Arabidopsis thaliana: one gene and its partners. The protein of the gene in region 3 purifies or fractionates together with the protein of the main gene of each other region. This does not show direct contact. Each region holds a gene or a part of one and is shown on either strand. Other genes may lie near its edges.

The links.
Region 1: the proteins of ERS (region 3) and AT2G12280 fractionate together in Arabidopsis thaliana (co-fractionation; one large-scale study listed by BioGRID). This does not show direct contact.
Region 2: the proteins of ERS (region 3) and THFS fractionate together in Arabidopsis thaliana (co-fractionation; one large-scale study listed by BioGRID). This does not show direct contact.
Region 4: the proteins of ERS (region 3) and AT2G12200 fractionate together in Arabidopsis thaliana (co-fractionation; one large-scale study listed by BioGRID). This does not show direct contact.

The regions. Positions count from the first base shown.
Region 1 is NC_003071.7:4,918,730-4,925,122, forward strand, and holds AT2G12280 (P-loop containing nucleoside triphosphate hydrolases superfamily protein), read left to right. Parts: upstream 1-3,552; 5' UTR 3,553-3,594; coding exon 3,595-3,867; 3' UTR 3,868-3,950; downstream 3,951-6,393. Other genes in the region: AT2G12290 (uncharacterized protein), read right to left, coding at 5,371-5,772.
Region 2 is NC_003070.9:18,698,534-18,707,314, reverse strand, and holds THFS (10-formyltetrahydrofolate synthetase), read right to left. Parts: upstream 5,434-8,781; 5' UTR 5,252-5,433; coding exon 5,096-5,251; intron 4,671-5,095; coding exon 4,521-4,670; intron 4,427-4,520; coding exon 3,251-4,426; intron 3,152-3,250; coding exon 3,005-3,151; intron 2,904-3,004; coding exon 2,628-2,903; 3' UTR 2,377-2,627; downstream 1-2,376. Other genes in the region: UBC20 (ubiquitin-conjugating enzyme 20), read left to right, coding at 1,012-1,127, 1,520-1,547, 1,634-1,861, 1,956-2,019, 2,105-2,164, 2,264-2,310; AT1G50470 (F-box associated ubiquitination effector family protein), read left to right, coding at 6,871-6,943, 7,023-7,315.
Region 3 is NC_003076.8:25,627,898-25,636,898, reverse strand, and holds ERS (glutamate tRNA synthetase), read left to right. Parts: upstream 1-3,689; 5' UTR 3,690-3,799; coding exon 3,800-4,044; intron 4,045-4,117; coding exon 4,118-4,236; intron 4,237-4,318; coding exon 4,319-4,440; intron 4,441-4,525; coding exon 4,526-4,708; intron 4,709-4,821; coding exon 4,822-4,940; intron 4,941-5,024; coding exon 5,025-5,073; intron 5,074-5,181; coding exon 5,182-5,283; intron 5,284-5,384; coding exon 5,385-5,487; intron 5,488-5,574; coding exon 5,575-5,638; intron 5,639-5,765; coding exon 5,766-5,880; intron 5,881-6,000; coding exon 6,001-6,101; intron 6,102-6,217; coding exon 6,218-6,374; intron 6,375-6,469; coding exon 6,470-6,703; 3' UTR 6,704-7,067; downstream 7,068-9,001. Other genes in the region: NAC103 (NAC domain containing protein 103), read left to right, coding at 1,747-1,903, 1,997-2,274, 2,355-2,783, 2,875-3,081; PSAN (photosystem I reaction center subunit PSI-N, chloroplast, putative / PSI-N, putative (PSAN)), read left to right, coding at 7,490-7,789, 7,868-7,993, 8,090-8,209; AT5G64030 (S-adenosyl-L-methionine-dependent methyltransferases superfamily protein), read right to left, coding at 8,642-8,870, 8,945-9,001. UniProt on the Arabidopsis thaliana protein: Catalyzes the attachment of glutamate to tRNA(Glu) in a two-step reaction: glutamate is first activated by ATP to form Glu-AMP and then transferred to the acceptor end of tRNA(Glu).
Region 4 is NC_003071.7:4,897,863-4,903,757, reverse strand, and holds AT2G12200 (P-loop containing nucleoside triphosphate hydrolases superfamily protein), read right to left. Parts: upstream 3,146-5,895; 5' UTR 3,108-3,145; coding exon 2,943-3,107; intron 2,841-2,942; coding exon 2,814-2,840; downstream 1-2,813.

The DNA of each region.
Region 1 (6,393 bases), on a different chromosome or scaffold from region 3:
CTACTTACCAATGCGAAACATGTTTTCCATCTACTTTATACGAGTACGTTGCGACGTTTCTACGACAACAGGACGACTAGAGGACTTAGTCGGCCTGTAGTCGCCATATTAGCGACTAAATAAAATAGACGGTAGAATAGTCGTTAATTAGCGACTAAGCAACGACAACAATATCCCTTCAATAATATAATCGTCAAATAGTCGTCACTTGCCGACACTTTGCCGACTGCAGACGATAGTCGTAAAACAACGACTATGTGACTACAATTTTTCGTGTTGTCGCAGGGGAGTCGTAAATCCGTCGCCAACTAGTCGTATAATGTTACGACTACGTTTGTTGTCGCTGATTGTTCCGCCTATAGAGAAGACTGCTTCTTTAACCTCCTCTTCGGTAATCTTCTTTGTTAGGTCTGCATTCATATCTGCGGTTACTCGTTGTTGGAAGCCATTTAGAACATAGTAGTGATTGTTATTTGTCGTTAAGTCACTCCGAAAGAGCTTGGTGAAGAATTGTTGCGCCACTTCCCCAATATTAGAACTGCCTCTGTGTTCCACATTCGCATCGTCCAAGATAGAGTACATTCTGTTTCGTGCAGATCGTATTTTTGCAGAGGCAAAAAAATACTTTGTGTTACGGTCTCCACCTGACAGCCATGTTTTCCGGCTCTTAAGTCTCCAGAATTCTTCTTCAGCAGCATAAGCCTTCGACAGCTGCAATCTGAGCTCTCGGATGTGTTGAGTTGTTGTGCCATCAGAGTGAGCTCTATCAATTCTGTTTTTGAGAAGGGCTATATCTTCTTGGGCATTTGATCGATATCGCCTCTTCCATTGAGATATTTCTCTTCTGCAGGCAGTGAGTCGTGATCGTAGATTGTCGTCCTGGTGAAAGATTCTCCGGTTCCACCCACGTCTGACAGTATCACTGAACCCATCACGCTCAACCATTCTTCCATCAAAACAGAACTGGTTATGCTTCTGCTCAAAATCGCTCGTGATTGTTGTGATCACTGGTCGATGATCTGATTCTATTAACTCAAGGAATTCCATGTGGGATGCGGGAAATTGAGTTAACCATTCGTTATTCACCAAGGATCGATCCAAGCAGCAGGCAACATCATGAGTGTGTCGTTTTCCGACCCAAGAGAAAGGGTCTCCTGTAAACTTGAGATCATGGAAGTCACAGGTTTGTATCATTTTCCTGAAATCAAAGAAAGAGCTTTCTGGCTTCAAGTTGCCTCCTTTTTTCTCATGGTTGCCTCGTATTTCATTGAAGTCCCCTATAGCCATCCAAGGACCTGTTCTTTGTGTTGCTGTTCGTTCTAATCTTTCCCAAACCAAGTGTCTATGGATAGGATTTGGGTGACCATATACACAAGATAAATAGAACCCAAATCCATTAATATTAACAAAAGTATTTACAAGGTTTGGGGATTGATAAAGAACAGAATACAGAAATACTACTTTTCCACATTAAAGCAATTCCACCACTTAGATCATTTGGAGGAACCATTACAACCCTATCATAACCTACATCGCTGCAAATATCTCTGACGATGTCATTCTTTTACTTCGTTTCCATGAGAACAATGATGTCTGGAGAGAATTTCTTCTTTATCTCCTTTAGACGTCGAACTGCGAGGTCATTGCCCAGTCCTCTACAGTTCCAAGCGGCTGTCCTCATGGAGGAAGAGGGGGTTCTGGGCCCACCGCGCTTCTCCCCACGTCATTCGGCTGAACCGTCTCTCCGGAGCAACCACTGCTTTCCCCAGCCTCATGGATCACCATCTTAGAAGGCTCGTGTTCTTCATCTTCTTCGATGGTGTCCTCTCTCTTGTGTTTGCCCCTATCCGCTGCCACATCCTCACGAACATAGTCTCTGTTCACTCCATTATTTGTTTTCATCTCTCCATGGTACGTGGAGTAACGACATGGCTCCCAATCCTGGAAATCTTCCACGGCTTCATGATGGGCATTCATCACTAATGAGAGTTATTTTATTTATTATTGTCCACGTATTTATTTTGTTTTTAATGTATTTTTTTTTTTTTTGCCTTTTACAGTTCCTAATCCAGATTTAAATCTGGATATAACCCTATAAATTATAAGATATACTCGTCCACATAATATTATCAAGTTTTTTAGTTTTTTAGAAAATAAAAATCTATTCTAAAATTAGAGAGAAAATCAAGTGAGACAATTTTGTGCCTCACAAGTCACGAGATTACTTAGCTCGGAAGGGTTTTGGGCTCTACGTGTGAAAGGCATAAGATATTTTAGTTACTTTTATGCTTTACAATTTACATTACTAGAGTACAAACAAAACAACAGCTATCATGGATTTTTATGACATCATCAATTTACGTGTGTCATTTGAGATTTATAATCTTTACTTTATTATCACTTCTATTTTGTTTTAATGAGTTCAAGATCTTTTCTTGAAAGACATATGAAGACTTTAACCCAAAAAGCTAAGTATTGTCTTTGATGAAACTTTGAAATCGAGAAGTTTTCAAAATTTTAAACGATGTCAACCAGTATTTTTTATTTATAAAACAGTATTTTTCTCTAAATATTTGACAAGATTTTTTTACCCCCGCATTAGCTAAAACCCATTTTCGTACATATGTTTACAAACAATGTCCGCTCAACAATTTCATGGGTGTAGGATAATTTTTTTTTATATTTTGTTATAAAATTTTTTGTATGATAATTTAGTTAACAAAAAAAAAAACAATGCATTAAAAAAATTATAGGTCCATTCTAAATTTTATTTTTGTGTTATATCTAATTTTTAAAAATATTTTTAAAAAAATATATGTCCCTTAATTGTTAAAACATGGGTTTGGATTCTTGGCTGTCGCACCGCTTACCCCTCTATTTAAACCGGCACTGTTTACAAATTAAACATTATAGAAAATAATTCTTAAAAACCGGACTAAGTAATGAAAATTTTAAATTACAAAAATGAAGAATACTAGGAAGCGAGAACTAGGGAAGAAAACTTGAAGCACCACATTAGTCAAAGAGATCGAAGAAAGAAGCCATTCTCTAAGAAAATTTACCATTAAGATTGACTATGCACTTTATTTAAAACACTTGCCAATATATCTTTTTCAAAAGTTTTTTTTTCATAACTCATATTAAGACTTTCATCTTCAAATTAAAGGGGGATGAGCTTTCCGGATGATACTTAGACCTGAGTTGAGTCAAAATCGCATCTCCCTACAAACAAGTTCATCATAAACCAGTCGTAGGGTCCAAAGACTTTCACGATCCATTAAACTGACATCTTAGTGTTTAAAGACATTTTTCTTGGTGTTCTAAAACATATATCTTCTGAACATGGCTCAATTGTGACTCCTCTCAAGAAAATTTAAAGGACTTGGGGAGGACTATATTATTATTTTTAGTTCCCCTTAAATATCCACATAATAATTACTGTTTGTTGTTTTCTTTTTAATTCAAACATACACCATTCCAAAGAGACCTTTGATAGTTTTCTTTACTAAAATATTATTGAAAATTACTTATAAGATTTATTATTAACATGTTTTAGATTGAAAATTGCTCATACAGGCACATAAACAGATTGAGATGTACACACAACAAGGCTTCTCGAATCTTCCCATATGCATGTCGAAAACGCAGTACTCATTCTCACATGATGCATCAAAGAAAGGAGCACCTTCAGGGTTTGTATTGCCAATTCGGGATGTTAGAGGAAGCATTGGAGCTGGTTTCATATATCCACTGGTTGGTACAATGAGTACAATGCCTGGACTTCCTACAAGACCTTGTTTCTATGAGATTGATATCAGTCAAAGCTTCAAGGCTTCCCTTCACCGTCGTTCCTCACTTCCTCAATAAAAATTTGGCGATTGTACTTTGATACTGAGTGTTTTTCCTCTTTGAAATGAATAATAATAAAGTATCTTTTCCTGTTGATTAATTAATCTCTGAAATACTCATTATTTGAAGTTGAACTCAAGGTAACGTTACACATAGAACTTGTGATGTTCAAAAACAAAGCATAAAGCAAATGAGTGACAATGTTTTCTTTTGAAAAATCGTTTTATGTGAAATCATCAGAGGCATTGGAGATTTATGAATCAGAACATCTTGCAGAAATCATGCACTGAGAGGCACAAATTGGATGCCATGCCGAAATGAGGGCATCTCGATTCACGTATTGTGGGCCGAATAGTAAGGCCCATGGAAGATTAAAGTCAATTCAAATTCGAACGTTGAAAGCATTAAATCCAAAGACGGAAACGGAAGAGTTAAAAGAGAATTATGGTGTATAATTAAGAATAATTACTAGGTTTTTGTATAAATAAGAGAGGTCTTGGACCATGTAAGACACCCACAATTTTTCTAGCAATTTTCGATAGTCATTTTGATATCAATTTTTAGCTTTTACATTTTATCTTTGTCCTCAAAAATTAATCCATCTCACAAAACAAATAAATACTTGAGCGTGTGAATCCGACATCCACAACACTTTTGCCTGAAAAAATAATTAACATAAATGTAAAGTATCCTAACTTTCCCATTTTAAATAATATTGTTTATTCAAACTATCTTTAAAAAGTTTTGACAAATATACACCCAAAAGTATATTTTTGAAAAATCTAAAGTTGTAAGGTAATAAGGTAATATATCTAAGGTAGACTAAAGATATATTGAATAACAAATAAAAAATCTAAAGTTTTTAAATGACTCAAAATTGGACGGTATAGATGAATTCTAACGCCTATCATCTATATATATATACGACAAGGGTCTTTCTTATTTATCTCGATAACCAAACTATCCTCAGCTTGTGTAATCCTCATTTTGCCCCTGACTTTTGAACGGTCAAATAATATGAGCCGTTCGATCGAATATGAGATGAGAATTTTAAAATCGTAACCGTCCGTTTTTAACTTTGGCCATTGTCCCTGCTCTTTAATTTTATAATTAATTAATTGAAGCCAAATAATTGTGACCGTCAGATCGATATCAAAAGAAAGGAGTTGATAACATTCGTCCGATTTTATCAAAAACAAGGAACGAATGTCAGCCGTCCATTTTGTACCCTTCAGTAAACCCTAATACTCGTACCTAATTAACCTAATATAAATATAAAAATACGGTGCCGCTTCATATATTGTCTATCCTATTTGCACCTAAGAACTACTCTTTCCATCTCTAGGTTTTGTCTACAAGATTGGGATCTCATGATTGACAAAGAGAAAGGTAATTTAGTCAAGGCCGATAGATTTAAGTATGCGAAGAGAACCAGATTTGGGTACAGATTTGGGTATGTGAAGAGAGCCATGCACGGTACAAAGATAGTTATCAAATAAAGCTGTCAAGTATATTGACTTTTCAACACCATTCGTAATGTGAAGAAAGAAGAGAGTTGCAAAGTCCTCCTTCTTTATTAGAAGGAAATCTCATTCTCTTATTGTCTTTGTATGGGTGAAAGTGAGATCTATGGAAGGGAGTTAGTTGACCTGCGGAACCAGAGTCGATGGGAGACGCTGAAGCGGTTGGAAACGTTTCGAGTTGAGCAAGAACTTGGTCTAGGTTTGTTCGAAGAGTATTAGGGTTTGCTTTGTTAGTTTGATCGATACCACGCCAAATCTGATATTCGACGTAAAGACTTTTCACCTTCTCTTGTAAAACCCAATTTAGGTTTCGAATCCGTACGGTCCATTGTGAAGTTACTAGCGCGGTTTGGTAACACTTAAGTGAATTGTCAAACTCTCGCTGATTGTTACATATCATCAAATTTTTCTTCCTGCTTTATATCATCTAACTAGCTGATTTGAGATTCACAATCTTGATTCTCCAGGTTGCTCTGTATATTGGTGGTCTTTATGTTTGTGGAAAGGTTGGATTTTGAACTCTTATTCTTGCAAACAATGATCTTAGCTTTTGATTTGAAGCCATTGTTTGAGTTTTCGGTCTTGGTAATATACAACAATGTTAAAAATATGCAGGTTGGATTGGAATCTATAATGAAAATGGGAGTATAGACAAGAGAACTGTTCTTCTATGAGACATTTCTGTATTGTAACCCGCTCCTTCTCATTGTAAGTTACATTTCCTCTCAAATTAGTAGAGTCAAATTCTTTAAGTGTGTTTCCTCATGTATGCTATTTTGTTCAGACACTGAAGGTCTGCTGGCTCTGGGTGTTAATTTGTGGCTTTTTCTCGGTCTGGAGTTGATTATGCAGCAATCTTTTATCTAGGACCAGATCATCTTAGTCACAAAGAGATATGGAAGGTAAACAACTATTACTTAGATCATTTGTATATATTTTTCATTCGATTATTACATCAATGTAACCAATGTCACAGTGTGCCGGGTGGATGACAATAATTATATTGACTAGCATGACTGCT
Region 2 (8,781 bases), on a different chromosome or scaffold from region 3:
TGCTTAATTTTTCCGGTTTAGAACCTGGTTCGGGTAATTTCATTGTAGTTGACTGTAACCAGGTTCTTCAAATTTATTCTGCTATTCCTAGTAATTTTTTTTTTGGTAAGATGCTATTCCTAGTAATTTTATTTCTTGATCAAATGCAATATTGCAATGTATCACAAGATTAGTTTTCAACATAACAAATACTTAAAAGTCCAAAAACCATAGAGATAAAAAAAATTGTAAATAAGTTGGATAATTTATTAGGTGTGCTTTTATTCATTTTTATTAAATAATATAATATTTTTATCGAACTATTTTAAGATATTCTCACGCTATTTGTACAAATCACCACCAACGGAATTAATTATACTAGATAGATAAATAGGAAGATGGAATGTTGGTTTTACAATAATAATATTTACTGTATAAAAAACAATATTCAATATCCTTTTTTGTCACCGAATATCTTTCTTATTACTAGTATGATAACAATTTTGAATTGTTTCCAAAAACTATATTAGAATACAATGTTCTTTTGTTAATAATATATTAAAATACAATGTATCAAAATGATTATGTTTTTTTCCTCTTTATGTCTATATGCATTACATTTGTCAACAAAAATTAATTGTTTCTTCTTTCAGATTTAGAATTAAAGAAAGAAGCAAACTAGCCGTTAGTTAAACGAAATTCAAAAGCTTCCAAGCGGCGCTTGTTTGCTCTCCAACGTTCACTAACAAATCCGCTTTAAATTTTCCCTTTTCTTTTTTATTCCATTTAAAGTCAAAGCGACGTCGTTTTCTCTCACTCATACGCCGTTTTATAACCAACCTCAGAGACTCTCATCGATCGATCTCTCTGTCTCTCGCATCGGAAGTACGAAGAAGGATCTTTGTTTTCTTCCTCTTCTCCTTCTTCTACTTTCGAACACTCGTGAATCTGATTCTACTCTAGTCTAATTGGGTGCTTTCGATTTCTGAATAAAAATTCGATTTTGGTCTGACGATTAAGAAAGCGAAAGTGATGGCCGCCGTAAATGGATATCAGGGAAATACTCCGGCAGATCCTCCGGCGTCTAATGGATCAAAACAACCTGCGGCTCCGACCAAGACTGTTGACAGCCAATCTGTTCTCAAAAGGTACTTTTCTTTTCCTCGATCTTGTCCCAACATTTCGATACCAATTCAAATGTAATCGCCTTAGTCTTTTGCCTCGTTTTTGGATATATCGTCGCTCCAATGTATCTTCTTTAAATCCATTTCATGGTTTGTTATTATTTGGCTATTACGCATATCCAGTTCTCGTGGTTAATGTACTGTTATGGATCCGTTAAATGAAGTGGGAGACTTCTCATATATGTTTGCATATAAACTGTTTGTTAGAATGTCTCTGAGAGAATTAAATCTTTAAGATGTTCTTTGTATTCATCTTGAATCAGATCTACATTTTATTGCTCAAAGTTTCGGTTTTTTAATCATGAGTTCAGTAAATCCCAGATTCCTAATCTAGGCTTTTCTTTGATTAAACGCAGACTGCAATCTGAATTGATGGGCTTGATGGTAAGTTATCATCTTTCTTCCTTTTTAGTGAACAAGTTTCTATAGTAAAGATTTGCTCATAGGGTTCTTGACTTGGTTGTTTTCAGATGGGCGGTGGTCCAGGAATATCGGCTTTCCCTGAGGAAGACAACATATTCTGCTGGAAAGGGACAATAACAGGAAGCAAAGATACTGTGTTTGAAGGAACTGAGTACAGACTCTCACTCTCTTTCTCCAATGACTATCCTTTCAAGCCTCCAAAGGTTAAGTTTGAGACATGTTGCTTCCACCCCAATGTTGATGTCTATGGCAATATCTGCTTAGACATTCTTCAGGTAAAAATATACCTTCCTCTTGTGTCTTTGTTCTACACTGAATCAGAGAAGACGTGCCAAAGTTAATCCGTTTACAACATTTTCATATTTGCAGGATAAGTGGTCATCTGCTTACGATGTGAGGACGATACTACTATCGATTCAGAGCCTCCTGGGAGGTATTCTATGGTGCATAACTTTTGATTTCTTGTTAGCCCTTTTTGTTGGTTAATCCAATATCTGATACATGTTTTCGTTGATCAGAACCGAACATCAGTTCACCATTGAACACTCAAGCAGCTCAGCTTTGGAGTAACCAAGAAGGTAAACAGACAGGGGATTTAACAGTCGTTATGAAATCAAACTTCTTTAGAGTACCACAGTTATGAGTTTCTTATGTCTCTTTTGTTTCTCCATACGCAGAGTACAGGAAGATGGTTGAGAAGCTTTACAAGCCTCCAAGTGCATGATTTCTGCAAGCTGTTCTGATTCATAAATCTCCAATGCCTCTGATGATTTCACATAAAACGATTTTTCAGAAGAAAACACTGTCATTCATTTGCTTTATTCTTTGTTTTTGAACATCAGAAGTTCTATCTGTAACGTTACCTTGAGTTCAAATAATGAGTAGTATTTCAGAGATTAATCAAAAGGAAAAGATACTTTATTATTATTCATCTTAAAATGGAAAAACACTCAGTATCAAAGTACAATCGCCAAATTTTTATTGTGGAAGTGAGAAACGACGATGAAGGAAAGCCTTGAAGCTTTGACAGATCTACCAAACTTAAGAAAGGCCACGAACTTTTCCAGTTTCAGTGTCAATATCAATCTCGTAGAAACAAGGTCTTGTAGGAAGTCCAGGCATTGTACTCATTGTACCAACCAGTGGATATATGAAACCAGCTCCAATGCTTCCTCTTACATCCCTAATTGGCAATACAAACCCTGAAGGTGCTCCTTTCTTTGATGCATCATGTGAGAATGAGTACTGTGTTTTCGACATGCATATGGGAAGATTCGAGAAGCCTTGTTGTGTGTACATCTCAATCTGTTTCTCTGCCTGTATTTTACATATCACAGGATAATAGATAAGTTACATAAACAGGTTTCTTTTGACAACAATGCAAAGAAATTGAAGAAGTCGGTCTAGGAATCAATCACCTGGTCTGAATATTCAACACCACTGGCTCCATATGACTTAGCTATTGCCTCAATTTTGTCTTTGATACCAATGTCCAATGGGTAGAGAAACCTGAGGGGCTGTGTAATGTTTTGACAAGCTTTTTCAACCGCGATACCAAGATCCACCTATAACATTTACAAGAACAATTCATCTATCAATAAGATGAGATTGCAAACAAAATTGCATATAATCACATAGTGTTGGTCTCGAATAGAGAAGATTACCGCTCCTTTACCACTATGAGCATGGTGGGAGCAGACCACAGCATCAAAAGCACCGGCATCCATTGAAAATTTCCTAACTGCATTTAGTTCTGCTTCGGTATCTGTTGCGAACATATTCACAGCAACAATTACATTCACACCGTAGGCCTTTGTGTTTGAGATGTGCTTTGCCAGATTCACACAGCCAGCTTCAACTAAGGAAACATTCTCGCTTACATAAGCACGATCAAGAGGTCTCCCGGCAACAACATCAGGCCCACCTCCATGCATTTTCAAAGCCCTAACAGTCGCCACAACAATTGCACACTGAGGCGTTAGCCCACTGTAACGGCACTTAATATTCATGAACTTCTCTGTTCCAATATCAGAACCAAAACCCGCTTCAGTTACCACAAATCCACCAGGTCCCACCAGCTTCAAAGCGATTTTATCAGCAACAATCGATGAATTTCCATGAGCTATATTTGCAAAAGGACCAGCATGCACTAGAACAGGGGTCCCTTCCAGTGTCTGCATGAGTGTCGGGTTAATAGCGTCTTTCATCAGAACAGTCAAGGCTCCTCCAACACCGAGATCATCTGCTGTTATCGGATCCCCTGCCTTGCTGTTACCAATCACCATTTTACCAAGCCTCTCTCTCATATCACCTAGTGAGGTTGTCAAAGCCAAAACAGCCATAATCTCACTAGCAACAGAAATGTCAAAACCAGTTTCTCTAGTCATCCCCTTTTCCTCAGGTCCCTGACCAATAGTAATCTTCCTCAAGAACCGATCATTAACATCCATCACTCTTCTCCAAGTGATAGAAGCAGGATCAATATCAAGCCTCGCAAACTTCTTTATCTCCTCGGGAGTAAGCTCCTCAGGACTGGTCTTGGATATCCCAAGCTTTGTCAATCTCCTGAACATAATGTCACTGAAACTACGCTTCCCTTCTTTATTCGGAGGGCACAGCCTATTAAAAAGAGCCTTGTCGGATTGAGACGTCTCATGGAAAATCCGAGTGTCGATTGCAGCAGCTAAGAGGTTGTTGGAAGCGGTAATCGCGTGAATATCTCCAGTGAGATGAAGATTGAACTCATCCATAGGAATCACCTGACTATACCCACCACCAGCTGCACCTCCTTTGATTCCAAAGGTGGGTCCTTGTGACGGTTGGCGAAGACAAGTAACAACCTAAGCAACAACACTTCACAAATCAATACAAAGAGAGAAGTTTGTCCAAAAGCAAGCATAAGGCATAAGCTAATAAATGAAAGCAAGAGAGAACCTTCTTATCGAGGTAAGCGCCTAAGGCTTGGCAAAGTCCAACAGTGGTAGTACTCTTGCCTTCTCCAAGAGGAGTAGGAGTAATCCCTCCAACAACAACATAGTATCCATCTTCTTGTCCTTGAAGCTCATCAAACGCAGACAACAAAACCTACAAGAACAAATCATCAGTTGATTAGCTCAGAACACTGAACCATTGGTTTAACCAGCTTCTGATGTTTTTGGTGAAACTAAAGTATCAATCTTGCCCACCGACAAAAAAGAAGTAACAGCAAATTAACAAGAAAAGAGAGCTACTTGGTAGGAAAATGGTAATATGAATCCAAAATCAATCGAAAGTTATAAACTTTGAGCTTACGTAACTGCCTACTCAAGCTCCAAAAACTCAATCATTAACAATCTCTTGAAAATTTATTTAAGTTTGATCGAAACCAATTCGAACATAATAGTATCTTATAACCAAAAACGGAGTTCTTTTGGATCCTTGTACCGACAACAACATAGAGACAGAGGAAGATTCAGATGAATAATTTAATTTTCAAAGGGAAATGAACAAAAGGGAAAAATGATGATTACCTTAGCTTTATACTTGCCATAGAGATCGTAGTGAAGAGGGTTGATATTAAGATCTTTGGCAATCTCAGAGATGTGTAAAGGCTCGACGGAATTAGCTATGTCGATATCGGCGGGAACTGGTGAAACAACCTCAAGCTTTCTTGTTGATGAACTCATCGCACTCTCTGTCGAAGTCTGATCTCGCGTTGGAGGATGAGAAGATGGATGAGGGACTCTGATGAATTGATGATGTTTTATAAAACTTTAAAGCACATCCTAATATATTACAGTAAGTAGCAAATACATGTTTAGATCATTATCCATATTAACCAATGAGAACGATGACGTTTTTGTTTTTTTCCCTCTTTTTCACCTCTTAATAAATATATTTTCAACACACATAATTATTGAAGGCCAGAAAATGACGGTTTCGCCCTCGATCTATAAGCGCAGCCACTATAGTTTAGTTTGGCCCACTGTTGTCGTCAATTTAAACTAGTACTATACTAGAAAAGAGAATGGAACTCGGATTTGTTAGGCTACCAATTTTCTTTAATCTTTACATAATACTTCTTAAGACTGTACTATTAAATTTGTTATTTTTAATAAAATACTGTTGTTTTTGAACTATTCCAATACAGTTTCTATAGATTTACAGGAAGCCACATTTCTTTTCATTTAAACCATCATTTTCATTGCACCAATACTATTTTATTATACAACGATGATAGTTTTTGTCAACATGTATAATGTATTGGGGTGAACGGATTCCGAGGTGTCTTGATAAATGGTGCCAATTTTTCCTCTCGACAGATATGGTGTATAGAGTTTTAGACTTAGAATTGAAGAGGCACGAGAGGGTCAACTATTGATGAATCAGTAACCTTGAAGCAATATATATTTTAAGCAATCTATATAAAAGCCCTATGGAATATGTCTAGGACTAAGCCTTCTTTGCGTATCTTACATAGTGAAATCGATGTCATATTAGTCCATTAACATAAAATGGGCTTACAGCTTTAGCATTTTCTGACCCAAAATGAGGCAAAGAAACGACGTCATTTAATATAAAGTTATCCATCCATTTCCTAAAGAAGATAAAATGGATGCAACCAAAGAGAATCAGAATTTTGATTTAGGATGGGTTTGACATTCTTATTGTGTGATAGATAACGTAGTTTAAAAGCAATACAAATGTAGTAGATCAAGTTGAAACAGAAAAGAAAGAAGAACATAAAGAGAAGAAAATCCCAAATAACAATGATATGATGATGCTGCTGAGAATAATAAACAGAAAAGGGCTATTCCAAAGGAGGAGCTCGATGCTATCAATGATGCTGAAACCTTTTTTGCAGAAATCTTTTTCCGGGAAAGTGTGTCAAACACAAATTTAGGGAAAGTGGTAGGTTTAGTGAAAAGTGATATTGAGAAGAAGAAGAGAAGCAGCATGCAAGAGACAAGTTTAATGAAAGTGATAGATACCAAAACTTGTATGAGTTTGGTTGTATGAATACTTGTATTTGTATTGAAAGATATTGTCTTGCAAAAATTTGATTTTTTTTTTCTTGAGAACCTACCATTGGAGGACATTTTTGTTAAGATAGTTTCTTTGAACCTACCATTGTGGTTTGGGACCCATTCTAGAAGAAAACCATATGGATCCAACCGATAAATCGTCATGACAAGATATTCGAGGTCTATGCTCTCGGTTACAATAACAAGGACTTGTGCCATAACTACAAAATCTTGAGGTTTATAGATATATGCTTGGAAGTCTATGATTTTAGCTCTAATTTATGGAGGAGTTTCTTGATGTCGTCTCTCCCGAAGACGACTTAGTATCCACTGGCAAGTCGTTGAAGGGAAATGGTTACTCATTGCTCAGTTTTGTTTTTTTCAACAGAGAGGTTTCAACTACTATGTGTGCCCTTTCATCAAGAAGCTGCAGAAGTAAATGATATTAAGGCTCTCTCAGTTGTTAGAGAAGAACATCTCTCCTTATTATATCAGAGTGCAAAGAAACTAAAGATGGATATAAGGGTGACCAATGAGATTGAGACAGTGGATTTAAAACCCCATGGTTGTTTGTTTTCGAGTTCCCTAAGTTTCCACATTGACGAAGAGAAGAAAGTTGCTGTTTGCGGTGAGAAAGTCATATACAACAAGATATACATTGTTGGAGAAGATAAATACACAAGGTATATCGATCTTCTGGTTTCGGTAGCTTTGATGGTCGGTTAAGTGTGTTTACGTATGTTCAAAGATTGATTTAAATCCAACAATATGTAATATCCTGTTGGACATTGATCATTTTGTATATATTATCATCTTAAATGTTTTATTCACATCTTCTGGATCTAATAAAAAAAAACATAACAAGATTTAATTTGACTAGTCCAGAGAGACAAGCAAAGTACCTTTAAAAATAATGAGAAAGTCTCATAGTCAATTAGTCATAGATTCCTTGTAAAGAGGTAGAGATTTGCATGATTCAGCGTCAAGCCGTCAATCATAATATTACTATACCGATCGAGCTCCTTCTTTTAACGTTGATTTATTATATTAACTAGGTGAACTTCCTTGCATTGTATTATGCATATCTATGAGATTTTTTCGGTGTTTAAGAAAGTGATAAGCGCGGTCGGTGACCCTTCGCCATAACGTTTAAAACATTTAGTCGTAGTCTGAACGATTTAAATCGTTTTAGAATAATTTATATATTTATATTACTATATGAAACTATATTTAAATTTCATATAGTAATATAAAAATAAATTTCATAAAGTATTAGTTTTTTTTCAATTATTTGTTACTTGACTTGTACTTGCAAGTATCTAAATTATACTACTTGTTAGAGCATCCCCATTGAGGAGTCCTAATTAAGGACTCCTTACAATTTTTTAATAGTAAATTTTGAGTAAATGAGAGTTTAGAGTTTTTGGTTGAAACTTTATAATTTTTACTGTCCAATAGTGGAATTCTTAAGTGAAATCCTTAAGTGAGAAATTTTTATTAGTTTGTGAAAAAGAGTATTTATTGGGTAAAATGAAGAGTGTGTATTAGGTTAAAGAAGAGTGTTTATTTGGTGAAAGAAGAATGTTTATTGGGTTTGTTGTAGAGAACAAGAAGAATGGATACTTAAAACAATAAGAGTGGATAAAAGAAGAGTGTTTTGGTATGCATACACAGAGACTTCAAAATTTAGAACAATGAAAACAAAATTATTGTTTAGCATACAAGTGAGGTCATAGAATACACAATAAGAACTAGTGTTCGGAATATTATTTGTGGTGTACAAGCATTCAAACCAAAGTACAAACTTATGGTGACTTAAAACATGTGGTCTCTTTTTAATACTAGTAATGTCAGCACTGGAGTGATTTAGAGAAGGTGGAACTTCTTACGAACACTATTGAAACACAACACACTCACACTGAAGACTGAACATTCACAAATAAGAAAACATAGAATACTTAAACTAAAGATTAAGACAACAGACATACAAGTCATATTGAACTTAAAGTAAAGACAACAGACATACAAGTTATCTCAGCTAAAACCACTTAGAGATACACGAGAGAGAGAAAGAAAAAAGTAGTTTGGGAATGGGCAAAGAAAAAAAATACGGGAAAAGAAAGAAAACTTGTTTTATTGTCATCCAATATACCCAAAAATACCTTAAACAAGGTTCGCACCTTGGTTTATTT
Region 3 (9,001 bases):
GTAAGTAGGATTCACTAGCTTCTCCATTTGAATTGATGTTCAAAAGAAAAACAAAACAAGGGTTATATTGGAATAAAAATAAAGTGAGACAAGAAAAATGGTCATAACTAGCAGTTTATTACTAGGGATATTTTGAAGGCTATTCATTTTCATAAAAAATTTGAAACGTCTTGATTCATGCACTGATACACAAGGATCGTACTATTATAGAACGTACCGTATAAAAGTCTACCGTTTACTCTCGCTGTTTACAAAACAATAGCAAATTTGTTACATGTAATTGGGGAGATCTACAAAATAGAAAAAGGAAATAAAAATCGTAAAAGAATTTTCCCATTGCCTTTTTACATTTCATACCAATGAAACAAACAAGCATAGTCAAATTGTTGGAGAAAAAACTATTTACCAAAAAAAAAAAGGGGAGCGCAAAACTGAGGCGGGTGAAGTCATCGGGCCAATGAGAGGGATGCTCTTTCGGTTCCTTAGCTTCCAATTTATTTTTAAATACATAAATTGATTTGCATATATCTTTCTCAAACCTTGACAACATAACTCGTTTTCAAAATAAATGAATTTTAATCAAATTTCTAAAAGAAATATACTCATTACCAATTTTCCTTTTTATTCTAAGATCCATACTCTTATTGTTATTCTAATGAATCATCATATCGGAAATCAATAATTTATTTTATAGTTATACAAATTTTTTTTTTTTTTTTTGATCATAGTCATAAAATCTCTCTTTCAAAAAATAAGATTAAAACTATAAAATTAATATCACAAATCTTCAAGTTGTTGTAAACCAGTAACACTATAGAAAAAATAGACTGAACTATCGAATTATATACTTTACAAATCATTAACTTATGGTAAAAACGTTTATAATTTTTTTGTTTTATGGTATATGGTAATAGCTTTTGGAACCCGCACAACTAGAAGTAAAAGAAAAAAAACACACTAAAAAAGTTAACTTTTATACATTTTGGTTTTTGGCCGATTACATTTATGATTTATCATTGAATTGCAAAATAATTTATTTCTGTAATAATAAACGCGTAATTAGATCTATATAAACCCTAAACCCCATCACTCACTTACTCTACCCCTGGCTTCTCCTTCAAGCTATACTCTCATTCTCTCTCCTCCGACCAAAGTTTTCTGTTCCTCCGCTTCTCCTTCCCCTACCGGTGCGACTTCTCCTCTCTTTTATCTTCTCTCTTTGTTTATTTTAACGCCGGAAATGTTTCTCACTTGTACGTTTTGGTTTCCGATGTAATCTCTCGTCTTCTCTGTTTCTTGAAAATGGGGTTTTGATTTCTGGGTTTGATCTTAGCTCCATCAACTTTGATGCTTCCCCTTGATCAAAGGATTAAATTCTACAGTGGAGATTATCTATCTGCTTACCAAATTTTGATCAGTTACAACAAAATTACAAAATCAGAATTAGCCCTAGAATTTGTTTTTTGTTGTTACAGTCCCATTCATTGAAAAGTGTCTTCTTCTATGTGTAGGTGCTTCGTTTTGTGTTGTACAGCAGATGTCTGTTGATATCTGCAAGAAGAATCCATCGTTTCTTTGGTGTGACTGTGGATATATGAGCAGAGGAAGGTTGTGGTGCTTTCAGACCATCATGTTTTCTTCTTCTTCTTAGCTTTTTGTCTCTGCTAGATCTTGTTATTGTGAGTTTTTTGCTTTACTGGTGAGGGAAGTTACTTAGTGTAGTGAAAGTTTTCCCCTTGTCTTCCAATGGGGAAAACTAACTTGGCACCTGGTTTTCGGTTTCATCCGACTGATGTTGAACTTGTGAGATACTACTTGAAGAGGAAAGTTATGGGAAAAAAGTTCCAAGTTGATGCCATTGCTGAGGTCGACATTTACAAGTTCGAACCTCCTGATTTACCCGGTAACTAACTCATTCTTTCAGAAATCTTTGTTCTGTTTCATGCTTTCTTATTTATTTCCTGATTACTAACAGAGGTTTCTTTACATTGTACAGACAAATCATGTCTAGGGACTGGAGATCTTAAGTGGTACTTCTTCTGTCCAAGAGAAAAGAAGTATCCCAAAGGCGGTAAGGCAAACCGCTCTACTGAATGTGGTTACTGGAAGACCACAGGGAGAGACAGAGATGTTTCTTATAATGACGAAGTCACTGGGAAGATAAGAACTCTGATTTATCACTACGGGAAAATACCTCGCGGTGATCGGACTGATTGGGTCATACATGAATATAGACTTGAAGACAAAGTACTGGCTCAAAAGAATGTTCCTCAGGTAATGACGATTCGTTCTTGTCTTTTTTTAACGTTTTGATTCCTTGCAAGTTTACTAAACATGCTTGTTGTGCCCTGCAGGATACTTATGTGCTTTGCGTTCTCTTTAAGAAAAATGGACTTGGACCAAGACATGGATCTCAATATGGTGCTCCATTTAAGGAAGAGGATTGGAGTGATAAGGAAGAAGAATATACTCAGAATCATCTTGTAGCTGGTCCTAGTAAAGAAACCAGTCTAGCTGCTAAGGCCTCACACTCGTACGCTCCTAAGGATGGTTTGACAGGAGTGATCTCAGAATCTTGCGTCTCTGATGTGCCGCCACTAACTGCCACAGTGCTTCCACCTCTAACAAGTGATGTTATAGCTTACAATCCCTTTTCTTCTTCACCTCTTCTTGAGGTTCCTCAAGTATCTCTCGATGGTGGCGAGTTAAATTCGATGCTTGATCTCTTTTCTGTTGACAATGACGACTGTTTACTTTTCGACGATTTCGACTACCATAATGAGGTAAGTCTGTCTCTGCATCATCATGCTTTTGATGAATCAGATTTCAGTGTTCCTGAAAAGAAACTTGTTTTGATTGCTTCTGAAACTACAGGTAAGACATCCTGATGGTTTTGTAAACAAGGAAGCTCCGGTGTTCTTAGGAGATGGCAATTTCAGTGGAATGTTTGACCTGAGCAATGACCAAGTCGTAGAGCTACAGGATCTGATACAGTCACCCACTCCTCATCCTCCTTCTCCTCCAGCTCAAGCTAGTATTCCTGATGACTCAAGAAGCAACGGTCAGACTAAGGACGATTAAGTATTTTGTGCTGACTTATGCTCTTTCTTGCTTTGGTCTGATGCTCCATGGAAACAGAGACCAAACATGTGAAGCTTTAGCCAGAACGTTTCTATTGTTGCCATCTCTGTCTGCACGAAAGAAGAGACAAAACCATGAATCAGTAACTTGAAACCGTCCAGTAGTGGAGCCAGCTTTCTATGTTATGTTTCTGCAACTGCGTTGTCTGTAGTCTTAGATTTTCATCATCATTTATGTATGTGGCAAAGACCTTCGCTTTAACTAGTGTAATACCATGGATTCTTAGCTTAGCTTCAATGATAATGCCATTAAAATTCAGTCACAGGCTATAAGGATGAATGTGAACGAACGTCGTCGTTTGGGGAAATACAATGCCACAATTACTTTGACTTTGCTTCGCAAACATAGTACGAGGATGTAAGTAGAAATTAACAAAGGTTATGGGGTCTTTTAGAACAATGTTACTTTCCAGACCAGACGACAAGACGACGTCGTTCCTCAAATAGTCCACGTGTCTTTCCTAATAAGTGAATTTTAGCATTACAATTGTCAATTGGGGAGTAAATAGGTTGAAAATATAATATGGGGATGTAATTTTACAATTAAAACAGTTATGAGGCTTTAATCGAATTTGTTGCTTTGCTTTGCGACTTTCATCTTTCCGATTAATCAAATCCTTTTATCCTCTGAAAAATCTCAACTTTCGAAGAAAACGAAAATGGCGAGCCTTGTCTACGGGACGCCGTGGCTTAGGGTTAGATCTTTACCGGAGCTTGCTCCAGCTTTTCTCAGACGGCGTCAATCTTCTTTATTTTACTGTTCTCGGCGAAGCTTCGCGGTGGTTGCGTGTTCCACTCCAGTCAACAATGGTGGGTCTGTCAGAGTTCGTTTCGCGCCTTCTCCTACTGGTAATCTCCATGTAGGTGGAGCAAGGACTGCTCTTTTCAACTACTTGTTCGCGAGGTTTGTGATCTGATATAGAGCAGAACAATATTGAGAGTTTTTGGGGATTGTAACTGATGGAGTTTTTCTACAGGTCTAAAGGAGGGAAATTTGTGCTGAGAATTGAAGATACAGATTTGGAGAGATCAACACGTGAATCTGAAGCAGCTGTTCTTCAGGATCTCTCATGGCTTGGTCTTGATTGGGATGAAGGTTGCTTTTTCTTCTTCTTCTCTGTGCTAATTTAGGTGTTTTTCCAATGGTGGTGTAATGAAATTGGGATTTGAAATTTCAGGTCCTGGGGTTAGTGGAGACTTTGGTCCTTATCGGCAATCTGAAAGAAATGCTTTGTATAAACAATATGCAGAGAAGCTTTTAGAGTCAGGTCATGTCTATCGATGCTTTTGCTCAAGTGAGGTGATTATCTTCAAATTCGCTGAACAACTTCAGCTTGGTTTTTTTGACTCTGCTGTTGATTTTGATCAATTGTTATGTTATGTAGGAACTTGTAAAGATGAAGGAGAATGCAAAGTTGAAACAGTTGCCTCCAGTATATACCGGGAAATGGGCAACAGCTTCTGATGCTGAAATAGAGCAAGAGTTAGAAAAGGGAACACCTTTTACTTACCGGTTTCGTGTGCCAAAGGAAGGCTCTTTGAAAATTAATGACCTGATTCGTGGCGAGGTTAGTATTATAGGTTTTTTTGTGTGCTTAATCATCAATCTATGTTTAGATACTGTTATTTAAAGCTCGATAGTACCTTCTTGTAATTGACCATGTGTGATAGTGTCTTGAAGGTCTGTTGGAACTTGGATACTCTTGGGGATTTTGTGGTAATGAGAAGTAATGGCCAACCCGTTTACAACTTTTGTGTTACGGTAGATGATGCTACCATGGCTATATCACATGTTATAAGGTAGTGTCTTCTTTTGGAATTTGAGTTTCTTCTCTTAACATGTTTGAATGTTATCTTGATCAAATCTATTAACTTTCATTTCAGGGCTGAAGAACACTTGCCTAATACTTTGAGGCAGGCTCTAATTTACAAGGTAAGCACTAGCTTATGTTTGTTTATTCCAATTGCTTTCGGAAGTTATGTGATCCAGAATATAGGAGGAAGAATTTGATTTATTGCTGTCTGTATCAATCAATGGCAGGCTCTTAAGTTCCCGATGCCTCAATTTGCACATGTTTCTTTAATTTTAGCTCCGGATAGAAGTAAATTATCAAAGCGACATGGGGCAACTTCTGTAGGCCAGGTGATTATAGCTGTTATTTCCTTTACTGCTCGTAGATCATAGATTACTCCATTGCTGATTCTTCATCTAATTTCTGCTTTATGTCCCTTTCGAAAAAACAGTACAGAGAGATGGGATATCTACCTCAGGGAATGGTTAACTATTTGGCACTCTTAGGTTGGGGAGACGGGACTGAAAATGAATTCTTCACACTCGAGGATCTTGGTAGGTCGTTTTTGTTGACTGTAGTTACTTTGTTGCCATCCCTAGCTTTTCTGATTTCTTCATTGAATGTTTGTTCTTGATTTGCAGTTGAAAAATTCTCGATTGAACGTGTCAACAAAAGTGGCGCGATTTTTGATTCAACAAAGTTAAGGTGATTATAGATTTTACTTAGCTGTTTGAATTATCCAATCTTATTCTCTCTTGTTTTTCGTATCTCTGTTTGTTCTCTACCTTTTTCTTATAAGTAGCTTCAATGTGGCATATTTATAAACTCAAAGATGGATGAATGGTCAACATCTGAGGGCACTTCCAAATGAGAAACTAACAAAACTTGTTGGTGAGCGATGGAAGAGCGCTGGTATCTTAACAGAATCCGAGGGGAGTTTTGTAAATGTATGGTTTCTAATCATGACTCCGCACTTTCTTCTGATCCTAACATAAAGCTTTGGAATTAGGAACAACAGATTTTTTCTGTATAGACTTACCCAGTTTGAGCTTGTTGTTGAAGTACAGGAAGCTGTCGAGCTTCTCAAGGATGGGATTGAGTTGGTGACAGATTCAGACAAAGTACTTTTGAACTTGCTTTCATATCCTCTACACGCTACATTGGCTAGGTAACTATCAAACCGTTTGTTCCTCCTGCATCACCTCTTTTCTTTCAATAAATATTTTTTACGGTTTTCTGGAGCTCTGCGCTTGTGTTGATTTGAGTTTGCTGCACCTGATGCAGCCCTGAAGCTAAGCCTGCTGTGGAAGACAAACTTCATGAAGTAGCAGCCAGCCTCATAGCTGCTTATGACAGCGGAGAGATTCCAAGCGCTTTAGAAGAAGGACAAGGTGCTTGGCAGAAATGGGTGAAAGCCTTTGGCAAATCCTTGAAACGCAAAGTTAGTCATCTCTCTAATGCAGTTAATACCGAAACAAAATCTACTTTACTTGAGTGAACAAACCTTACAAGAGATTCTTCTGATGCTGGTTACAGGGTAAATCACTTTTCATGCCACTACGAGTGTTGTTAACGGGAAAACTCCATGGTCCTGAGATGGGCACCAGTATTGTTCTGATTTACAAAGCTGGAAGTCCTGGTATAGTGGTTCCTCAAGCTGGGTTTGTGTCCATGGAGGAACGGTTTAAGATTCTTAGGGAGATAGACTGGGAAGCTTTGAACAAAGATGAGAGTGTGCCTCTTGAATCTACAGCCACAGTATCAACCTGAGAAAACTCCCCTTTTTTTTTTTTTTTTTTTTTCCTTCAATATTTGGTTAGTTGGTGAGAGAAAGACAGCCCAGAGATTTTGATTCCTCGTGCATTTCTTGTTTCCCGAAACAAATGGCACAAAGAAATTTGTAGATTATAATGTATCAGCAAAGCAAACTTAGGAACAAACCAGAGAGCTTGTAACATTATCAGGCCAGTTTTAATTTGCTTTCAATGCTCTGTTTTCTTAACATTTTCTTCTTTGTCTGTTTTTTTTTTGGTCATTTTTTTTCTTATTTGTTTAACTGTACTTTCTCTCTAAGGATAAAATCTTATAATGGTAAAAGCTCTCTTTTGTTCTTTCTATGAAACATAGGCTTTGCCAAATTAGAGTCATAATCCGAAATCTTTACCTGACCGGGATAAAGTTCAGTTAAACCGGATCAGACTAAGAAAACAGAGTACCAAACAGAGATTTTTGTGATTTTTGAGAGAGTTTGTGTGGTGGGGACTGAAGTGAATCTAACCACATAAACACTTGGAAGAGAGAATCTGAAAAACTCAAACTTTAAAAGCTTGAAGCTTTGAGTAATAAGAAAAGGTTTGGACTTTTGCCAATAGGACTGAAGGGAAATCTCACCTTATCCACACTCCAACCACAATCCCTTATTACATCTTAGTCCACGTCATCATCATCATCCTCATTCATCTCTAATACTAAAATCTAATCTCTTCCTTGCTCACTCACCAATCAAACTCAAAAAACTCTTGAATTTTTCAAGAACAAAAGAAAAAGACATCTTTAATGGCGGCCATGAACTCGAGTGTTCTCACTTGCAGCTACGCAATTGCTGGCTCTGGCTCGGTAGAGCTTAACCAGAAAGTTGGTTTGGTGAATTCATCAGTTGGGTTTGGTCAGAAGAAACAGATGATTATGCCTGTGATCAAAGCTCAACGCGTTGTTGGTGATGATGTTGATGGATCTAATGGAAGACGATCAGCCATGGTTTTCTTAGCAGCTACACTCTTCTCCACTGCTGCTGTTTCTGCTTCTGCTAATGCTGGCGTCATTGACGAATACCTCGAGAGGAGCAAAACCAACAAAGTAAGTCTTTGAATGCCTCAATCTTGACATTGCTAAAGATCCTAAAAAGTTTTGGATTTTTTGAAATTTTGATTATAGGAACTTAATGATAAGAAGAGATTGGCAACAAGTGGAGCAAACTTTGCGAGAGCATTCACTGTTCAATTCGGAAGCTGCAAGTTCCCTGAGAATTTCACTGGCTGCCAAGATCTTGCCAAGCAAAAGGTTTGTCTAATATCCACAACGTTTTCTTTTCTTTGGGAATAATATTTAACTTGAAGAGATTGTGATGTTCTTGTTCGTTTTCTGTTTTGCAGAAAGTTCCATTTATCTCAGAAGATATTGCTTTGGAATGCGAAGGCAAGGACAAGTACAAGTGTGGTTCCAATGTTTTCTGGAAATGGTGAAGAACTTTGTTTGTTTTCATCTATTCTTATATAAATCCAACAATGTATCTATCTCTCTCTATTCATGAAAGTTCTCGCATCCATTTGAATCTATCAAGCTAAAACTCTATTGAGAGATTAGGATGCATTATTTTGCATTAAGTTCAGCCTAAGATAAAAAACCTGACTGAATACATACATGTTCATTGAAGAAGTTTCAGTTGGTTTTACGGAGTTAACACCAATGCAAGCAAATAGAAGAAACCATAGAGTAACACATATCACTGTAATCTAACTTTACCAAAGAACCTCAATAGAGTTCTTCACCTTCAAGAACACAAAAATGTGCGAATAGTACAAACAAATGACTCAACAGCTAAAAAAAAAGAACTTCCTAAAAGACGAACCAACAAAAAAAGGGATGATATGGAGTTAATAAGAGTGTTTTTATACGTACAAAAAAGAGTGGGACTTGAAGTAAGTCTTCTCAACCGATAGCGTAAGTGAGTGTTTCCACTTCACTGGGTCGCCAGATTGATTTTTGAACAGAGAGCAAACCTTCTTTTTCCTTAGAATAAGTCATTCGAACTTCCCATTTCATCGCTTTCACCATGCCTTCCACTTGCTGTATTGTTTCCGCATCGTCTCGAACTATCAGTTTCCCTTCCGGTCTCAAAACACGATCCACTTCTGCTATCACCGCAGTTAGATTGCACCTGTAAAGTAAAGAGTTTGTTAAGTATTATGTTTCTGTTGTTTGAAACAGAGACTCTTTGTTACACAAACAAACCTTTGTTTGAGTTTGGAGAAAAGATGGTCGGCGTGAAGGAGATCATATGATCTCGGG
Region 4 (5,895 bases), on a different chromosome or scaffold from region 3:
GATTCTTTAGCATTCCCGAAATCATTTTTGAAGTTTTTCAGGGTTTGTGAAACTTCACGACCTGTTAGAATTCTTGCCTTTCTCCCATGTTCTATCTTTCCGTCAAACCAAGCCTTCTTGTTTCTATAACTATGTGTTGGTGCCAACCCTTTTCTATGACACATAAACACATGCTTTCTGCTATATTTCAACCACATACTATCTGTGCCTTTTCCACATAGAGGACAACCCATTTTACCTTTAACTTTACATCCAGCAAGGTTTCCATAGGCGGGAAAGTCACTGATGGTCCATAAAAGCATTGCCTTTAGAGTGAATGTAGTCTTACTGAAGGCATCATATGTTAACTCACCCTTCTTCCACAGATGGTTAAGATCTTCAATAAGGGGTTCTAAGTACACATCAATACTATTTCCAGGTTGTTGTGGTCCAGGAATAAGCAGGCTTAGCATTATGTTCTCCTTCTTCATACATAGGTCAGGCGGCAAATTGTAGTTTACTAACAGAACAGGCCAGCAACTATACCTAGTATTCTTCATGTTGAATGGATTAAATCCATCTGTTGAAAGGCCAAGCCGCAGGTTTCTTTCTTCAATAGCAAATTCAGGATACTTGTCATTCATCTTATCCCATGTAACAGAATCTACAGGGTGACGAAGTTTTCCATCAGTGCTTTTGTTACTATAATGCCACCTTAAGTCCTTGGCCATTTCCTCTGATCTGAACATTCTCTTAAACCGTGGAATTATCGGAAAGTATCGTAATACCTTCTGTGGGACTCCTTTCTTAGCTTCTCCAGTTTGCATGTTACTCTTCCACCGTGACGCATTGCATTTAGGACAATTTTCTAGATTCTTGTACCTCTTTCTAAATAGACAGCAGTCGTTTACACATGCATGAATCTTTTCATATCCCATATCAAAGCTCCTTAGAAATTTCTTGACTTCATACAATGATGTATGAAGCACATTGTCTGCGGGCAACATCTCTGGCAATGTTCCAAGGAGTTCATTGAAACTCTTATCAGACCAACCATTTTTGGTCTTGATCCTAAAAAGAGTCACTATAGCAGACAGCTTGCTGTGGTTTAAACAGCTAGGATATAGAGGTATTTCAGCATCTGCTAACTTTGCTAGAAACTCATCTTCTCTTATGTCCTCATCCTCTGCAATCTCACCTAAGTCAGCATCAAAACCTTGAGCTGCTTGGTATAGCTCCAAAATTTCAGCATTCCAACGACTGAAGTTGCTCTCACAGTCAGCCACTGAGTCCACGTCCCCATGATGATACCAATCAGCTCTCAACTTGTAAGCCTCATCCATCCCCCTTCTTACAAGATGATCCACCACATCGCTGCCTGACTTTCGTTCCACATTACGACAGTCTTTGCAGGGACATACTATCATGTCAATGTCTCCTAATGCAACAGCCACATCGGTTACGAATTTCTGAGCACCTTTCTCATATCCAGGATCAGCTCTTCAAGTAAACAGGAAAAATAAAAAACCTCTTAAAGCAACCAAACCTAATCAGAAAACTAACCCATATTAATTATCTGCTTACCTGCATAGACGAACCCATGCCTTGTCCAACATTATATGTTCTAAGCTTAATTAAAACCTTTGTAAAAGCAATTCAAACCATAAGCAACATTAAACTATAGAAGACAGTAACTCAAATCGCATCACAGACAAGTGCACTTGGACCAATATACAAACTTATCTCTTATCAAGTTCATCAAATTAAGAAATAAACAATGGCAAACACAATCGACAATATACTATCTCAGATTAATTCAAAGACACATGTTTTAGGACCAACAAATTACACTATCTCAGCAAATAAAACCAATCGACAACAATCACAGCAACTTCAGTGAAGAACACAATCGACAGTATACTATCTCAGATTAATTCAAAGACACATGTTTAAGGACCAACAAATTACACTATCTCAGCCAATAAAACCAATCGACAACAATCACATCAACTTCAGTAAAGAACAGAACAAAAGAATCACAACAACTTAAGTTCATACAACTCATAAGTAAAGAACAGAACAATTGAATCTGTCGTGTGACTAACCTGTAGTCGTGTGAATAGAAGAAGAAAAGTTTCACTTCCTCGACATTGCAATCACCAACACTTGATAAAAAAAAACGATTATGAGTATAAGTTGAAGCAAAACGTTTAAGAACTCTAAATCAAATCACAAATCGATGCATATAAACCCCAAAACGATAATCAGTATAAGAAAAAAGAAAAGTTTCACTTCCTAATTCCATTCAAATCACATTGCCCTAAATATAACAAATCGATGCATATAAACCCCAAAATCAAATCGTCACAAAGAACTAGGTCAAATTGAGAGTAAGACATGCCTTGATTTTGAGCTCAGTGGTGGCTGCGACAAGGTTAGAGCTCACTGGTGGCTGCGACAAGGTTAGAGCTCACTGGTGGCTGCAAAATGAAAGTCGATTCTATGAGATTAGGTCAAAATGCGAGAAAGATGGAAGCTGAAATGGATTAATAAGGAATAAGGAAGAAAGACTAACCTTGAATTTGAGCTCAACGGTGGCTGAGCTGGAGAATGTGGCGGCGGAGAATCCGAATTTCTGGCCAGCGACAGATCTTAGCTTTTAGGTTGAATCGATTTTGGGAGTGGATTCGACAGATCTAAGGCAAAAGTGAATAATTTTGGTCTTCTCGATTTTCTTAGGTTTTCACGAAGCTGTAGAGGGAAGTGAATAGTTTTGCTTAAGTGTTGGCGCTGAAGTGAATAATTTTACCTAAGTGTTGGCGGACTAAAGTATTTTACATTCCCGCTAGAGGATTTACGGTCTTAGCGTTTATAAGGTGCTATTAAAAAGTAACCAAAAATTTTATTCATCTTTTATAGCAGTTGAGGAAAATGAGCTATCCTCTACTGCTATCAATGAGGACTTTTTTTGTAGTGTATATGAAACCAGCTCCAATGCTTCCTCTAACATCCCGAATTGGCAATACAAACCCTGAAGGTGCTCTTTTCTTTGATGTATCATGTGAGAATGAGTACTGCGTTTTCGACATGCATATGGGAAGATTCGAGAAGCCTTGTTGTGTGTACATCTCAATCTGTTTATGTGCCTGTATGAGCAATTTTCAATCTAAAACATGTTAATAATAAATCTTATAAGTAATTTTCAATAATATTTTAGTAAAGAAAACTATCAAAGGTCTCTTTGGAATGGTGTATGTTTGAATTAAAAAGAAAACAACAAACAGTAATTATTATGTGGATATTTAAGGGGAACTAAAAATAATAATATAGTCCTCCCCCAAGTCCTTTAAATTTTCTTGAGAGGAGTCACAATTGAGCCATGTTCAGAAGATATATGTTTTAGAACACCAAGAAAAATATCTTTGAACACTAAGATGTCAGTTTAATGGATCGTGAAAGTCTTTGGACCCTACGACTGGTTTATGATGAACTTGTTTGTAGGGAGATGCGATTTTGACTCAACTCAGGTCTAAGTATCATCCGGAAAGCTCATCCCCCTTTAATTTGAAGATGAAAGTCTTAATATGAGTTATGAAAAAAAAACTTTTGAAAAAGATATATTGGCAAGTGTTTTAAATAAAGTGCATAGTCAATCTTAATGGTAAATTTTCTTAGAGAATGGCTTCTTTCTTCGATCTCTTTGACTAATGTGGTGCTTCAAGTTTTCTTCCCTAGTTCTAGCTTCCTAGTATTCTTCGTTTTTGTAATTTAAAATTTTCATTACTTAGTCCGGTTTTTAAGAATTATTTTCTATAATGTTTAATTTGTAAACAGTGCCGGTTTAAATAGAGGGGCAAGCGGTGCGACAGCCAAGAATCCAAACCCATGTTTTAACAATTAAGGGACATATATTTTTTAAAAAATATTTTTAAAAATTAGATATAACACAAAAATAAAATTTAGAATGGACCTATAATTTTTTTAATGCATTTTTTTTTTTTTTGTTAACTAAATTATCATACAAAAAATTTTATAACAAAATATAAAAAAAAATTATCCTACACCCATGAAATTGTTGAGCGGACACTGTTTGTAAACATATGTACGAAAATGGGTTTTAGCTAATGCGGGGGTAAAAAAATCTTGTCAAATATTTAGAGAAAAATACTGTTTTATAAATAAAAAATACTGGTTGACATCGTTTAAAATTTTGAAAACTTCTCGATTTCAAAGTTTCATCAAAGACAATACTTAGCTTTTTGGGTTAAAGTCTTCATATGTCTTTCAAGAAAAGATCTTGAACTCATTAAAACAAAATAGAAGTGATAATAAAATAAAGATTATAAATCTCAAATGACACACGTAAATTGATGATGTCATAAAAATCCATGATAGCTGTTGTTTTGTTTGTACTCTAGTAATGTAAATTGTAAAGCATAAAAGTAACTAAAATATCTTATGCCTTTCACACGTAGAGCCCAAAACCCTTCCGAGCTAAGTAATCTCGTGACTTGTGAGGCACAAAATTATCTCACTTGATTTTCTCAAATTTTAGAATAGATTTTTATTTTCTAAAAAACTAAAAAACTTGATAATATTATGTGGACGAGTATATCTTATAATTTATAGGGTTATATCCAGATTTAAATCTGGATTAGGAACTGTAAAAGGCAAAAAAAAAAAAAAATACATTAAAAACAAAATAAATACGTGGACAATAATAAATAAAATAACTCTCATTAGTGATGAATGCCCATCATGAAGCCGTGGAAGATTTCCAGGATTGGGAGCCATGTCGTTACTCCACGTACCATGGAGAGATGGAAACAAATAATGGAGTGAACAGAGACTATGTTCGTGAGGATGTGGCAGCGGATAGGGGCAAACGCAAGAGAGAGGACACCATCGAAGAAGATGAAGAACACGAGCCTTCTAAGATGGTGATCCGTGAGGCTGGGGAAAGCAGTGGTTGCTCCGGAGAGACGGTTCAGCCGAATGACGTGGGGAGAGGCGCGGTGGGCCCAGAACCCCCTCTTCCTCCATGAGGACAGCCGCTTGGAACTGCAGAGGACTGGGCAATGACCTCGCAGTTCGACGTCTAAAGGAGATAAAGAAGAAATTCTCTCCAGACATCATTGTTCTCATGGAAACGAAGTAAAGGAATGACATCGTCAGAGATATTTGCAGCGATGTAGGTTATGATAGGGTTGTAATGGTTCCTCCAAATGGTCTAAGTGGTGGAATTGCTTTAATGTGGAAAAGTAGTATTTCTGTATTCTGTTCTTTATCAATCCCCAAACCTTGTAGATACTTTTGTTAATATTAATGGATTTGGGTTCTATTTATCTTGTGTATATGGTCACCCAAATCCTATCCATAGACACTTGGTTTGGGAAAGATTAGAACGAACAGCAACACAAAGAACAGGTCCTTGGATGGCTATAGGGAACTTCAATGAAATACGAGGCAACCATGAGAAAAAAGGAGGCAACTTGAGGCCAGAAAGCTCTTTCTTTGATTTCAGGAAAATGATACAAACCTGTGACTTCCATGATCTCAAGTTTACAGGAGACCCTTTCTCTTGGGTCGGAAAACGACACACTCATGATGTTGCCTGCTGCTTGGATCGATCCTTGGTGAATAACGAATGGTTAACTCAATTTCCCGCATCCCACATGGAATTCCTTGAGTTAATAGAATCAGATCATCGACCAGTGATCACAACAATCACGAGCGATTTTGAGCAGAAGCATAACCAGTTCTGTTTTGATGGAAGAATGGTTGAGCGTGATGGGTTCAGTGATGCTGTCAGACGTGGGTGGAACCGGAGAATCTTTCACCAGGACGACAATCTACGATCACGACTCACTGCCTGCAGAAGAGAAATATCTCAATGGAAGAGGCGATATCGATCAA